Coturnix japonica: one gene and its partners. The protein of the gene in region 1 purifies or fractionates together with the protein of each later gene. This does not show direct contact. Links are inferred from orthologs where the notes say so. Each region holds a gene or a part of one and is shown on either strand. Other genes may lie near its edges.

Evidence for each region. Proteins that work in one complex are often made in the same cells at the same time.
Region 2: the proteins of SEC13 (region 1) and KLHL12 purify together in Homo sapiens (affinity purification with mass spectrometry; 3 studies listed by BioGRID and IntAct, with this or other methods). This does not show direct contact. The link is inferred for Coturnix japonica from reciprocal best matches to the Homo sapiens genes SEC13 and KLHL12.
Region 3: the proteins of SEC13 (region 1) and NUP85 purify together in Homo sapiens (affinity purification with mass spectrometry; 5 studies listed by BioGRID and IntAct, counting the BioPlex papers as one, with this or other methods). This does not show direct contact. The link is inferred for Coturnix japonica from reciprocal best matches to the Homo sapiens genes SEC13 and NUP85.

Annotation. Positions count from the first base shown.
Region 1 is NC_029527.1:16,778,656-16,782,769, reverse strand, and holds the end of SEC13 (protein SEC13 homolog), read left to right. Parts: coding exon 1-82; intron 83-789; coding exon 790-923; intron 924-1,148; coding exon 1,149-1,269; intron 1,270-1,468; coding exon 1,469-1,615; intron 1,616-2,036; coding exon 2,037-2,147; 3' UTR 2,148-2,849; downstream 2,850-4,114. UniProt on the Homo sapiens protein: Functions as a component of the nuclear pore complex (NPC) and the COPII coat. At the endoplasmic reticulum, SEC13 is involved in the biogenesis of COPII-coated vesicles.
Region 2 is NC_029541.1:899,110-904,101, forward strand, and holds part of KLHL12 (kelch-like protein 12), read left to right. Parts: intron 1-658; coding exon 659-812; intron 813-1,459; coding exon 1,460-1,677; intron 1,678-3,311; coding exon 3,312-3,461; intron 3,462-4,073; coding exon 4,074-4,188; intron 4,189-4,992. UniProt on the Homo sapiens protein: Substrate-specific adapter of a BCR (BTB-CUL3-RBX1) E3 ubiquitin ligase complex that acts as a negative regulator of Wnt signaling pathway and ER-Golgi transport.
Region 3 is NC_029533.1:9,354,035-9,359,564, forward strand, and holds the start of NUP85 (nuclear pore complex protein Nup85), read left to right. Parts: upstream 1-2,119; 5' UTR 2,120-2,218; coding exon 2,219-2,251; intron 2,252-2,337; coding exon 2,338-2,633; intron 2,634-2,808; coding exon 2,809-2,879; intron 2,880-3,356; coding exon 3,357-3,400; intron 3,401-3,827; coding exon 3,828-3,897; intron 3,898-4,091; exon of another isoform or gene 4,092-4,251; coding exon 4,252-4,373; exon of another isoform or gene 4,374-4,841; coding exon 4,842-4,976; exon of another isoform or gene 4,977-5,403; intron 5,404-5,480; exon of another isoform or gene 5,481-5,530. UniProt on the Homo sapiens protein: Essential component of the nuclear pore complex (NPC) that seems to be required for NPC assembly and maintenance. As part of the NPC Nup107-160 subcomplex plays a role in RNA export and in tethering NUP96/Nup98 and NUP153 to the nucleus.

The DNA.
Region 1 (4,114 bases):
GAGCTCTGATGGCGCCATTTCATTACTGAGCTACACTGGTGATGGGCAGTGGGAGGTGAAAAAGATCAGCAACGCACACACTGTAAGTTGGAGCCATGGATGAGGATTGAGCTGATGCTTCAGAGTGTGCAGACTAAATAAATACTGAAATACAATTAAATATTGTGAATTGTTCTCCAAAACCGAAAAATAACTTGTTTTAAATAAATCTAAAGTAAGAAAGTATGTTTTATAGTAAGTGAAGTGAAGTAGAAAATAAGAGGTGAAAGCCATTAAAGAGCACTGATAGTACATCTGATCATGACTGTTAAACACAGTGCTGGAAGTGACATAGTGGGAAATGGCTTTGATACTCAGAATACCTCGTACAACCTGGCTGTGAGTAAACTTCAACAAGAAGCTGGAAAAACTGCAGGGAAAAACTCGTGGTTTTCCCACAGCAGTGGGACTTCTTGTTTAAACAAAACTTGACAGCCATCTAAGCAGATAATGATGGTGGCTTGCATTAAAAGAAAACGGAGCTGTGGGCACACAGATTCTTTCTGCATTCCTCACTCTTAGCAACAGCATACATCTTGCACCTCTGCTTTTTTTTTTTTTAATCTATCTCCACTGTATACATTTCCAAAATGATATTTGCCTGTAAGACAGTTACTTGGCTACATAACACTTCCTGAATAAATGTCCAGTCAAGAATAGAACAATGTTTGGAGTTCTTATCCATCCAGCATAGATGTCCTTTGCTCCCTCCACAGCTTTTAGTAATGACCTTATTTTTTCCTTGCATAGATCGGATGTAATGCAGTTAGCTGGGCTCCTGCTGTTGTACCAGGCAGCCTCATAGAGCAACCGTCTGGTCAGAAACCAAACTATATCAAAAGATTTGCATCTGGTGGTTGTGACAACCTTGTCAAGATCTGGAAGTAAGTGCTCTCTTACCAGGCTTAAGAACTTCATTCTTTATGGTTTCTGAATGTCTGTATTAGCACCTTGAATTATACTTCAGGCATCTATATGCTTTCATCTTTAACTATCTTTTACTATTTTAGAAAAGCACTTTAAAAATAGAAACAACTTAATGTCTTAGAAACTCTCATAGCAATTCGTGTGAGATCTGCTTAATCTTATCTGTGTAAATATGTTTTCAGAGAAGAAGATGGTCAGTGGAAAGAAGAGCAGAAGCTGGAGGCACACAGTGACTGGGTCCGAGATGTAGCCTGGGCTCCATCCATAGGCTTGCCAACAAGTACTATTGCTAGCTGTTCACAGGTGAGACTTAGGTAGGAGTGAGCTGTACTTACGCCTTGCTTTTGGCTATAGAAAGGAAAAAGACCGTCATGTACAGTGAATATGCAAATAGACACATTTAGAGTTCATGCCTGTGTAAGTGCAGTCATCATTGGCAATGCAGACAAGCTTGGTTTTTGTATTACTAACTCATGGTAGCCAATTCTGTTTGTTGTTATAGGATGGCAGAGTGTTTATCTGGACGTGTGATGATGCCTCTGGAAATTCATGGTCACCAAAATTGCTGCACAAGTTCAATGATGTTGTTTGGCATGTGAGTTGGTCCATTACTGCAAATATACTCGCAGTGTCTGGAGGAGACAATAAAGTGAGTACTGCAGCCTCAGTTTGCTCTTGCATGTCATATTTTCACTTTTGTTGTTTTGAGTTAAGACTTTTAAAGACTTCCCTTTGATGCAGTGGTGTTTTTTTGTGGTTATTTATTTATTTACCTAAAGGGGAGGAAGACTCCAACCTCTGGCAAACTACATGCACTGCATTCTTAGTCCTGATTGGAAATGTAGGCTTAATTTTATTTTGTAAGGATATTACCATTGGAATTAATTCTTACTCCCTTTATTGCTGGATAATGATTTAGCAAACAGCAATAAATAATTTGATGCTTGAAAGAACTCTGACACACTGCTATACTTATAGACCATTACCATCTTAGTGATGCAATCATTACAAAGAAAATGAGAAACTGAGAATGTGTAAGACTTAACATCTTTTCCTGCTCTGTTTTTGAGGTCACGCTGTGGAAGGAGTCAGTAGATGGGTTGTGGGCATGCATCAGCGATGTCAACAAGGGCCAAGGAGGAGTGTCTGCCATTACAGAAGGGCAGCAGAATGAGCAGTGATGAGGACTGACCAGTCCAGCTGCTGGAAGTGATGGCTATACCTGATTTGCAATGTTTCTTGAATCAGATGAGAACTGGTTTTATCCAAGCTGGACGTGAACATGGGAAATAATTAGCCAATTCTATGAGCAATCTTAAACAATACTGGGGGGCTACATTGTGTAGAAAATCAGCCTTACTTGACATTCCCTTAAATTAAAGATGAAGAGAGGAGCAAAGTATTGTGCCTTGTGCTACTCCCTAACACAGTAAAAACTGTAACCTGCCTTCTAGTTTAGGAGTTAGATTTAATTGGATACACTTCAAGCACTTGAGCAGGAACAGGAGGAGGCAGGCAATGAAAGTGCTCGTGTGTGAAACCATCTGTGTAACCCATCTGGCCACTCAAAGGCCAAAACTACTTCAAGTGATGGAGCAGGCTGGTGGAGTCAGCAGTAGCCAGTGTTCTGGTAGTACTGAAATGGTGTGTGGGTTTCCCTGAAAGTAATATGCTCAGATACATGAAAATCTCAGTGCATTCCCAAAGATGAAAAAGAGTAGCAGAATGCATATCTATTTTGCTTTACGCTAATCTCAAACTTGTTTATTTAAAGAACATCAACAAATGAAAATACAATTTGAAGACTTTTTTTTTTTAGCCACAATTCTATACTGTACCTCAGGTTTTTGTTTAGACAATAAAATAAAGTCTTATTGGTTAAAGTCTGGTGTGCTGTATTTGGAAATCTTTCACAGGGGGCCTTATTGGGGTTTTCTGTAGTCTACCTTGACAGATGCCTTAGTGTGGCTCTCATGTATGGTATTTAGCTTCGTAAGGGCTAATAAGTGCCAAGTCTAGCCAGAGTCCACAGTATACCATGACAATGCAGGGGACTTCTGTTAGGACCCAGAAGCTCTCCAGTGGTTCTTATTATTATCCACTGCCTACTTTCTTTGTGCTCCTTGGTGTTCTCTACCAGCAGGCTCTCAGACAAAAGTCAAGATGGTGATCTAATTCTACCAGAACTTCTTAACATAGCTCTGTTGCAGAGGGCATTTGTTCTCAGCTGCCCTACGACCCTCAATCCTACCACTGAAGATTTGTGAGCTGTAGCACAGAAGAAATCCCACAGATCAGCCGCATCATTCAAGTCTAGCTAGAACACAAGTAACAGGTGTAAATTTGTCATCCTTTACTGTATGTTCCCACTTCGTTCCTTCTGTTCCTGAGGGTTTGAAGAATATCCTCACAGGATGCTTTCTAGAGCCCCAGACATCGCTGCAACTATTCACTGACATCTTCAAGGTGCATTATTTCATTTTCAAAGTAACAGAAATGATGTTTCTAGGACACATCTTTGTTTTCAGTCCTTCAGCAAAGAACAAAATTTGATAGAACAGAACCCAGGAGAGAACGTAGACAAGAGGAAGCACACTTAGGGGCAAACACGAGACACGGCTGTTACTGTAGGCCAGGAATACAGTTCCACTTCTTTTCTGTTACAGCACACCAGATAACAGTGGAAGGGCTCAGGACTTTCAAAAAAATAGCCATTACAGGCACTAGTTTTTAGAAGGAATGATGTTAATGCCACAGCAGAAAAATAAAACAAGAAACACACGATTCCCTGCACAACTTCATTATGCGTAGACAGGAACTCAGCAACAGATGTATGCGGTTTTCACGTTTTTGTCAGCTCTTATCTTACAAGCACACCATGTTTCCAAGGAATCTAAACGCACGTCAGACTGCATTCCCAGAAATATCACAGCACAGAACAAATACCCCACTCTCTATATAGGGTGCTTCAGAAAGCAGCAGTTTGGTGAAGTGACAGAGATAACCTGGTGAAGTTTCAGAGCCCTTCCAAGCTTTCGCCAGTTTTCCTCTGCAATTCCTCTCAGCTAACCAGTCTGCTCCAGTCATTACATCTCAGTTATAGAAGAAAACACAGTAAGTAAGAATCTCTTTTGACAGGGTATATTAT
Region 2 (4,992 bases), on another chromosome or scaffold:
TCCCATGGGGTGCTGCCCCCCAGGTGCTGTTCCTGCAGCTGCTGCTTGGTGAGGGTGTCAGCTCTGCACATGGAGGGTTCTCACGCAGTGCACTGATCCCACAGGTTGGCTCAGAGGGTGGTGGGCTTCAGAGAAAGTAATTGTTCCAAAATGACACATCACAGAGCTGACAAAACAGCACAGGGATGAAGTCAGCACTGCTTAAATGCCATCGTTGCATACGCTGATTTTACTTTCTAATATTGAAGTTCAGCTCCGGTTTAACTCTGAATTTCCTGGGCTGCAGATGGTCATTCTTAGTAGGGACTTTCACCATGAGCTCGTAGGGTGGATGGGTGGAACGGTGATGAAAGCTTTGGGTGTGGGCTGGGGAGAGCTGGGTGTAGAGCAGAGCAGTGAGGGCACTGTATGCCACACATGGCCCCACACACACTGCCCTGGAACTGCTCCTTCTGCACAGCTCAGGGTCCCTGCATGGTGCAGGCAGGCACCTCATATGAACAACATGCTCAGGGCTCAGTGTGTGCATTTTGCAGTGCACTTGGAACCTCTTCCACACACGTAACAAACTCTGCTTTGCTCTGAGGCTCTGCTGAGCACTGGTGTCTTTTTGACCAGATTAGTGGAAAATAAACTCTGTTTCCTTTATGATTTACAGCTCTCAGAGAAAGACAAACCCTACGTGGACATCCAGGGGCTGACAGCTTCCACCATGGAAATCCTGCTGGATTTTGTGTACACAGAAACTGTTCATGTGACGGTAGAGAACGTCCAGGAGCTGCTCCCAGCAGCATGTCTGCTGCAGCTGAAAGGTAATGCTGGGTGTTGGTGCACACTGCACGGCTGCTGCTCAGCAGAGGTTTGCTGTGTCCACCCATGACAGCAGTGCCTCTGTGCTGTGCTCAGTCTGGGCCTTGGAGCCATAACACCTTGTGTCAAACTCCTCTTGTCCTTTGCACGCTGATCTTGGTGTAGCAGAGCTGCCCCATCTAGAAAAAGAGACACGGGATGGATTCTTTTATCCGTGCTTTGTGCTACTTCATGTCTGCGTGGCAGTGCCTGGGGGGGGGGAGCTGACAGTAATAAGCAAAGCCCTGGTGTCGTTTGGCATTGCCAGGTTAGCGTGGCTGCTCACAGCTGGGCAATCCCATGGCACATCCACTTCTGCTTTAGGAGCTGCAAAGTCAGTGCAGCTCACAGTTACCAGTGTCAGATTTAACCTGGGGGAGGAGGGGGTTAAACACAGCAGGCACAAACAGCACAAGCAGCCGTCCTGCTGCTCAGCATTACTGTGCCCCTCGGAAGAGACATTGCATGTGTGTGCTTGAGTGGTGTTATTCCACTGCTGTTCAGTCAGTCTGTCCTTATTGTTTCCAACTTCCCTGTACTGAAGCCCTTTCCCGAGCAGAGGGCTGACAGGATGTGTTCAGTGCTCATTCACCCCTCCGATTTTCCATAGGTGTGAAACAAGCTTGCTGTGAGTTTCTAGAAAGCCAGCTGGATCCATCAAATTGTTTGGGCATTCGGGATTTTGCTGAGACACACAATTGTGTTGATCTAATGCAAGCTGCAGAGGTCTTCAGCCAGAAACATTTTCCAGAGGTGGTTCAGCATGAAGAGTTTATCCTCTTAAATCAAGAAGAGGTTGAAAAGCTCATCAAGTGTGATGAAATTCAGGTAAAACCTGAACGTACCATTACTCTGCAAAGCATTGGACGTAAAGCATTGAAAGCTGTTGGAAACCAGCCCGTAGTGCTCAGGAGGGACTCACCCATCCTTCCCCAGCTGGGAGTTCGCTTTCCAGGAAGGTTCTCCTCATTCCTTTGGCCCCATAACCTCAAACCAATGGGTGATGTGCAGGCTGTGTGTCTGAGCGTGTTGTCTCGGGGCTGCACATCACTACCTCCATGTTCCCTCTCCTCCCCCTCTCCCCGGAGGAGGTTGCAGCCATGCGTTGTCTCGGTGCCCACGTTGCAGAAACGCCCACAGGACTTTAACTTGTTTGCAGACCGTTGTGGTGTTACTCAGCAGCACGAGCAGTGCATGTGTCGTTCCCAGCATGCAGCCCTTCTGCTTGCACAGGGTGCAGAGCGGGGCTGCTAGACACTGCTTCAGGCGGTTACATGAAGGTGTTTCTGCCTCTGAATTTTGGTACGGACTGTGTTCACTCAGAGCTGGATTCTGGAGGTGTTACTGCATGGCTGGGAACCGTCTGATCCTGTTTGGTTTTTTACCCAAGTTTTCTCTGAGTGTGTATTTAGTTGGGAACTGAAATAAGGTGAATATTGCCTGAGAATAGGAAGGGGGCAGTTCTGTGTTGTTAAGCTGGACTTCAACAAGAGATGGTGTTTGCTTCAGCCCTAAAAGAAGTGATGGAGTCGTTACTCAGAGCTCACAGCAGTGTGAGCTCCTTGGAGCAGGTTGTGTCATTGGTACCTCCTGAGTTCCTCAGAGCCCCTCGAAGGGGTGACCAGAGGAGAGATGTGGATGTGTGCTTTGAAAGGCTGCAGCAGAAGTGGCCTTTGGCCAAGCTGATGTCATTAACAAACCTTGGAAAGGAGCACGCAGGGCGGCAGTGAGGGCTGCATGCAGGTGGTGCTCAGAGCAGGGGAGGGCTGAGGGCGCTGGGTGATCACAGCAGTGTCCTTAGTGCTGAGGTTTGATCTGGGTGGGTTGTGGTGAGAGCTTCTGGGCAGCCAGGGATCCCAGGGCTGGGAATGCTTTGTGTTGGAAGGGATCGTCCCCCAATCCCTTCCACCTCCTACACCACCTGCCCAGCAGCACTGATGGGGATGGAGCATCCCCTGCTCCTCCAGACTGTGTGTTTTGCTGCCTCACCTCTCTTGTGGTGAAGAATTTCACTGCAATTACACCTAATCTAAACCCGCTCTCTTTTAATTTAAAACTATCACCTGCAGGCCCAATAAAAAGGTCTCTCCTCATCTTTTTTGATGAGCTCTCTTTAATTATTGAAAGGCTGCTGTGAGGTTGCCCTTCCCCACGTGGAAGGAGCACAGCCCCTCAGCCCATCCCTGCAGGAGGTGCTTTGTCCTCTGAGTGTCACTGTGGGCTCTGGGCCCTCCATGTCCTCATGCTCAAGGAGCCCAAAGAGCGGGGCAGAGGGGCAGAACCTGCTCCCACACTGCCTGCTGGGCTCCTGTCAGTGCAGCCCTGGCTGTGATGCTGCTGCCTGGTTTCTCACCCACAGCAGACTCCCATCTGTGCTCTCCAGCTGCTGCTGGGCACAGAGCTGTCCGTTTAGCCACAGGCTGCTGCTCTCCTGTCTGAGCAGTGTGTCCCTCTTCCTGCAGGTGGACTCAGAAGAACCTGTATTTGAGGCTGTTATAAACTGGGTGAAGCACTCAAAGAAGGACCGGGAGGCGTCGCTGCCGGAGCTGCTGCAGTATGTGCGAATGCCGCTCCTCACCCCGCGCTACATCACAGACGTTATCGACACCGAGGTATGGGTAGAAGCAAACCAAGATGTGGATGATGAGATCTTTAAGCTTTTGCAATGGAAGTTTTAATTTCAAACAATCAATGCTGATCCAGTGCAAGGTTTGGCAGCAGGGCACTGTGAATTCGGCCTTGGTGTGGTGCAGCAGCACATGGTATTGAACACCCACAGGGAACTGGATGTGGAGCTGCAGCGGGGGGTTGGCCCAGGCCCAGCTGGGGAACAAGGAGGACATGAGGCAATGCTTAGGGCTGCTGTGCCCACAGCTGCTTCTGGAGGAGACTTCCCTGTTCTGAGTTCCGCCCATAGCAGGGTGTTCCATACAGAGCAGCGCAGTTTGGGCTTTGCTCCATGCTGTGTCTCTGGCAGTCACATATTGAGCTGACGCTGTGGGGCAGACCCAGCCAGGCCCACTCAGCCTTTGCTCCCTCCTCAATTGGGTTTCCACTGGCTAACATGTAGCAGAATCCTATTTTCCTCAGTTTTCCAGTGTAGGGTATTTTATCCTGTAATCTGCAGTGCCACGAGAGATGAGCTGTATGAGAACAGTCCCATGGCATCTCTGGGGGGATCTTAGCACAGACCACTGGTATCAGTGACTGCTGTCTTTCTGCAGCCGTTCATCCGATGCAGTCTGCAGTGCAGAGACCTCGTCGATGAAGCAAAGAAATTCCATCTCCGTCCTGAGCTCCGGAGCCAGATGCAGGGACCCAGGACCAGAGCCCGTCTGGGTGAGTGGTGTGGAGGTGCCGGGAGTAGCTGTGGGACCTGCAGGAGCTGTGTGTGCCATGCAGTGCTGTGGTGCTCTGCAACAAAGACTTCTTGATCTGCAGTGCACAGTGGCATAGAAGGGGGACAGCAGTGCAGGACAGGGTGGCTTGTTAACGAGTGGCAGCACAGGGAGTAGCTGGTTGCCCTGCTCCTGTGTTGGTGCTCCCAGATGGGTTTGTCTGAGCATGCAGCCGTCCCAGGAGTGTGGGCAGAGTTTCTAAAAGGTGGTTATCAGTGTCAGAAATTCACAGGGTGAGGTGAGAGATGGCAGCACTGGAGGGAAGATGGAATGGGGAACGTGGGAGGGTGAAGGGCAGCTGGGAGGTGGGCAGGTTGGTTTGTTGAGAGGCATGGTGAGTAATTTCTGTCCTGAAGGCAGTGCGGTGTGCTTCGACCTCCAACATAGTCCACCCACAGCACAGCTCCTGTTTTTCCAGGAACACCCCACATCAGTGCTCAGGGACATCCACTTCAGCTCAAGCCACCATTTACAGAGAGGCATTGTGCTCTGTTCTGGGTCGAAATGCCTCAGCTGATAAAGGGAATGTCACAAATTCACATCATTATCCAGGTGAAAATTGTGCGCTTTGCTTCTAAGGTCCACCTTCTGCATTCTGCCTTCTTTTGTATAACAATTTGATAGCACTGCTGTCAGGAGCACTCTCAGCACACGCCCTCGTGTTGCCTGTTCACTTCCTGGATGGACTGCAGTGGCTGTGCTGCATGATGCCCACAGGGCTCAGCTCTGCGCCCATGGTTGCACA
Region 3 (5,530 bases), on another chromosome or scaffold:
ATAATCCTACGTTTCTCAAATATTTCTGTGCCTCGTTCTACTCTTGCACAGCAGTTTTATACAGAAATGTGACTTATCCAAATCCTGCAGAGCACTTATGCTTAATTCTCCGCTCTTGTCTGAAGAGGGCAGGGAACTGGGCATTGAACCCACATTCCCTTTCACACCAAGCCTTCAAGAGATGAAGATTTTTAAGATAAAACGGCTGCAGGCAGAGTGTATGTGCCAGTCCACATTAGTGAGCACAAGCCTAAAAAGCAACTCCAGACCCTTTGAAACTTTACTGCTTTACAATTAGTTCAATGCAAAAATGGCAAGACAGCAGTTACTAGAGCTATAACCAAGGGAGTACAGCTAAGGCTCCTTTGTCATCCAAATTGTCACTCAAATTCCAGGAAGAAAATGCTGACCCCAGCGTGGTGCTGGAAAGCAGCGTTCCTTTATTTCCTTTATTCCTCACCACACTTACCAGGTGACTTAACAAACACGGGTGACCTAACAAACACGTGTGCTCTCTCAGAGTTCAGGTTCAGCATTTAAGCAGTTAAGACATACATTTCATTTTTCCAAGAACGCGTTAATTTATGTTAATGCTCCTTTGTGTGTGCACAGTTGCATTTAGTGGTCGCACGCCCACTTACTTTATCCCCATTTTTCCACCCTTAGCTTCATCACAGACACTTCTGGCTGACCTGTAGCTGTTCTTCCCTAACCTGCAAACCCCTATTGCTTGTTAGGCCAGAACGAGCAACTTCCAAAACAGTTCTGTGACAATTTGAGGCACACGTCCTTGCCCCGGTGAAACGCAAAGACAAGGAGTCTGTTATTCCTGTGAAGCACAATTAAGAGAAAACGAGGCTGTTCACTCACCAAGCAAACTGAAAGTTTTAGAACTAGCACTCAATGATTCCTTTGGCTAAACTTGTACACTGGCCCTTAAACTAATATATGGGATTCCTATTGCTAAGGCAGTCAGCCTACAGCACCTTCTCAGCCTGAACCCTGAAGGGGCGAGTGGCTTATTCGGATTTTGCTCTTCATTAATACTAGTGTAGCACCAGGAGCAGAAAAGCATTGCCGAGGTGATTGCCTGTCTCATGCTTCCCCTTTCACGATGCTTATCCTCCTTGCCTTCTCCCAAGCTATGAAATTACTTTCCAACCTTCTATTTTGTAACCCTTTATTCCCTTCCTCATTAGACCTCAAAGTTTTGCTGCTTTCTCCCATCCCCAGAAAACAGTCGTGTTCTTTTGGCTGAACCCAGAGCTGTAGCTCTCAAGTCTTTTTGAACACTGTGTACTTCCACGCTGCCATTCTGGTTGTAATTCGATTCAGTTACAGACTGGTCAGGCACAAGAGCCTTTCTGAGCCAGAGTGCAGGCTCATCTCTCTCCTAGATACACGCAGACCTCCAGCCAACCTTCCAAGAAGGACTAAGACACTGCAAACTAAACTTCACCTCTGCCAAGGTCATTTCCCTCGGCAAAAGTCACTTTCTCAAGGGCAGCAGGAGCTGCAGCCATGAAAAGCTACTGGCGTTTTTAGTCAGTGAGCAGAGGGGCTGTGTCCGTCAGCACAAAGCAGGAAAGGAGCTGCAGCTTTACATCAGCTTGTAGTTTTTCAGTCTTTGCACTGGATGGGATCCTGAGGCAGGAGGACACTGTCCCATTCCTACACCCTCACCTCAGACATCAAAACATCCTTCAACACAACGACGAAAAGGAAAATAAGAGCAGTGAGACCAACAGACACTGCCCAGGGCTCGGGCCTCTCAGCAGCGCTGGTTCAGGCTGAGCAGCACCTGCCTTTTTACTGCCCGTTACAGAGCGACCGCGGCGGGACAGCGGGACACGGCGGGACAGCGGGACACGGCGGGACAGACAGGTGGACACGACACAGCTCCGCTCCGCTCCTGCCGCGTCCCCCCCGCCCCGCTCTGCCATTACAGCGGCCCGTCCTCTCCTCCCCTCCCCTCCTCGCGTCCTCCCCCGTCCCGCCCCGCCGGGGCCTTCAATGCCGGCGCTGTTTCCGGGGCGACCGGCCGCGCCTGCCCCGAAGTGTCGGAGCCCCGTCGGTCCCGAGGGCCCGAAGCGGAGCAGCCCGCAGGGAGCCTCGCTGGCTGCCGGCTGCGGGTAACGCTGCGGAGCTCCGCGGGGCGTTGGGCAGCGGGGCGGGCAGCCGCCAGGGGCCTCAGCGCGGGCGGGAGCGCGGCGTGGCCATGGAGGAGCCCGAGACGGAGCCGCCGCTGACGGTCAGGGCCGGACCGCCCGTCCCCGTCCCTTCCTTTCCCTTCCCTTTCCTTACCTTCGCCCCCCGCTCTCCTCTCCCTTCCCGCAGGTGGTGCCGGGCGCCGACCCGGCCCGAGCTCAGCTGTGCTTCGAGTGGGGCCCCGCCGAGATGCTGCTGTGCGAGACGCTGTTCGGCCGGGGCGGCAGCGCGGGGCCGGGGCCGGCGGGATGCGGCGCTGCGGGCGGCGGGGACGGAGCGGCGGGTCCGTCGCGCGTGTTCGTGGTGCGCAGGGATCAGGACATCTACATGGAGACGCTGCGGAAGCTTTTCAACGAGTCCCACGGCATCTTCGTGGGGCTGCAGCGCTGCGAGGAGGAGCGGGCTGCCAGGGCGAGGAACGCGCAGTGAGTGGGGCCGGAACAGCCTCCTTTTGGGTGCTGAACAGTGCGTGGGACCCTGCACAGCACGGGCAGCACCCACCAGGCTGACCCTGGTTCTGGAAGCATCCACGGATGCACAGAAAAGGGACCGTAACCGAAGCAGTATCTCTCTGTAAACGATCCTTTTTGTGTTTGGCAGATTAGTCCAAGTGAGTAAAAACTACCGCTCGGTCATAAGAGCCTGCATGGAGGACATGCACCAGGCTGCCAGTAAGTCTGTTGCACTGCAGTAAAAAGATGCTACTTGTGATGATAAAAATAAGATTTCTCTTGGAAGTTGCTATAGCTACTGAAAAACAGCCCATATAAACTTCAGTAATTAACAGGATTCCATCTTCCATCATTGAGATTTCCATGTTGGTTCATCATCTCGTAACTGATTTTGGGAAGACTTGCAGTATTTTCATGTCATGACTTGTGGTTTTGTGGAAAAATGAGTCAAATTCACCAGCTTGCTCCTCTGAAACAGTGAGAGGACTCACTGTGTCTTAACATCCTTGTCCTGTAAATATACCAGATTTATAAAGAGTTCTGCAGGGTGAGCTGAGCTGTATCAGCTGTGCACACATCTGGGGCTGTACCCAGCGAGCGATCAAGGACTGTATGAATGAGCTCAGAAAGTTTTGTTGTACCTGTAAATATGCTGCTTTTTATGCTGCTTTTTGACTTGGTGTATTTTTCGCTCAGTTTCAGCCCGGGACTCTGCCCTGCACAACCAGTACAGCATTCAGGTAACGTACAGTCACATCCACGTAGTTGCATGAATATTGGTTAGTAAAGCCACAAAGACCAACACCGTGGCTGTAGTTTGTTGTTTGAACAGCACTGATGTTGCTTAGTTTGCCTTTAGTTCCTTCTGTGCTCTCTAACTCTCAGGAGATTAAAAAGGCTTCAATTAACACTTTCTGCACTGTTCTGCATTTCCCTGAGGAGCGATTACTGTTGCATTTCAATACACAAACCACCGATATTTTCTAAAATGGATGTGTATAGAGAAGTTATGGCCTGTTTCTGTCTTTTGATTATCTCTGGAATATCAATGTGACATTTCTCTTGTCTACAAAAACCCATCTCTGTGGGCAGCACATTCAGCTGTGCACTTAAAATTAAATAACAGGAACAATTATGACCCTGAAACGCAGCTCTGCTTTTTGTCAGGTTTCTATTCTCTCTGCCATGGAGCTGATCTGGAATCTGTGTGAGATTCTGTTTGTTGAAGCAGCGCCAGGTGAGCAGTGAACAGTTCTGATGTTAAGCCTGAAAGTGGTCTTGTTTGCGTAATAATCGTTTAAAATGTAGACAGCGTGCGTGGTGCTACATCTTAATGCTTACTGTGGAGTGTATGACAAGCAGCACCGAATTCTGATACCTTTTCTGCCTCAGTAAATTGCATTTTTTTGTATTAAATTATATCAGGATGCATTCTACTTTACACTGGCTTATTTATTTATTTCTCACAGAAGCATAATAAACAAAAACTTGTTCCCAGTTTATTTGACCTTAAAGCATAAGAACCTTCTTAAATTAACTGCCTGGGGACAAACAGTTTGGGAACTAACAGTGATACCTTCTCTGTGTAAAGCTGGTCCTCTCCTGCTTCGTCTCCTTGACTGGGTTCAGCTTCACATCTGTGATGTAGACAACATGGTCCGTGAAGTTCTGAGCAGCGAAAATCCATCAAAACACAAACTCTTCTGGAACGTGGTGAGTACAGCCCCCTGTCAGACGTTTAGATGAAGTCGTGCCTGTGTGTCTCGCATTCCTCTTCTCAGCACTGTAGCACATCTCAGAAACTGATACCTGAGATGCTGCTTCTGTCTTTGTAGTTTTAAGATAAAGCATTGTCAAGGTCATAGAATCACTCAGGTTGGAAAAGACCCGAAGGGTCATCAAGTCCAACTACAGCCTAACCATGCTACCCTACCTACCCAACAGCCCTCCGCTAAATCATGTCCCCGAGCACCACATCCAAATGGCTTTTAAACACATCCAGGGACAGTGACTCAACCACCATCCAATTTCATGATTCACAGAGGTTGTATATTCAAATTAGCAGGGCCTAGAGTTGAAATCTTGTAACTCTACTTGGCTTTCTTGAAGATTCTCCTGATATTCCACCTGGGTGCGTGGTAGCCCTGCACAGCTTGGTACTCACAGACGTGCTTTCTGCAGGTGGATATCTTCGTACTGCAAGGCCGAATGGATGAAGCACGGCACTTGCTCTCCAAGGAAGCCACTGCAAATCCCGCATCGATGAACATGTACAAAATCCTGGATGACTTGATGAAGAAGATGCCTGTGCCCAGTGTATGTCCAAAGCAGATCGGTTTTTTCCACTGTTTTTTTTTTTTTCCTTTAGTTCCATTAAGAAAGGAGATAAGAGTGAAAACAGAACTAGTCCAGTCTGTTTCACCTCTGCTGCGGCTCCTGTAACATCACAGGCCGTTGACCATTAAAACATGTGTCTTAATCCTTTACAGTAAAAAATACTTGTCTCAGTTACCCAAGAGACCCAAGTACACAGCTGAAAATCTGTTAGGTGGTAAAGAAACATAATCAGAAGTGATGTTTTTGTAGCAAGATTCATTGCTGGGTTACCTGAAACTGATCCTCTTGAGAACTTACAGGGAAGTCTTAGAAGATCTTACCTGCAGGTTTTCTTCTGTTGCAGTGATCTCCTCGTGGAGGAAAAATTGCAGCTGCATCTTTCACTGGTTGTCTTGGAGTCCTTTTCCTTTATTTAGATACACAGATTAAAACACTTCAAATGTAACTGGAGAACAAGGAAAAAGCTGACAGCAGCCTCCTTACCTTTTTAGCATGAATGAGTGTGAGTTCAGACCACTTGTTCTGACTTGGTA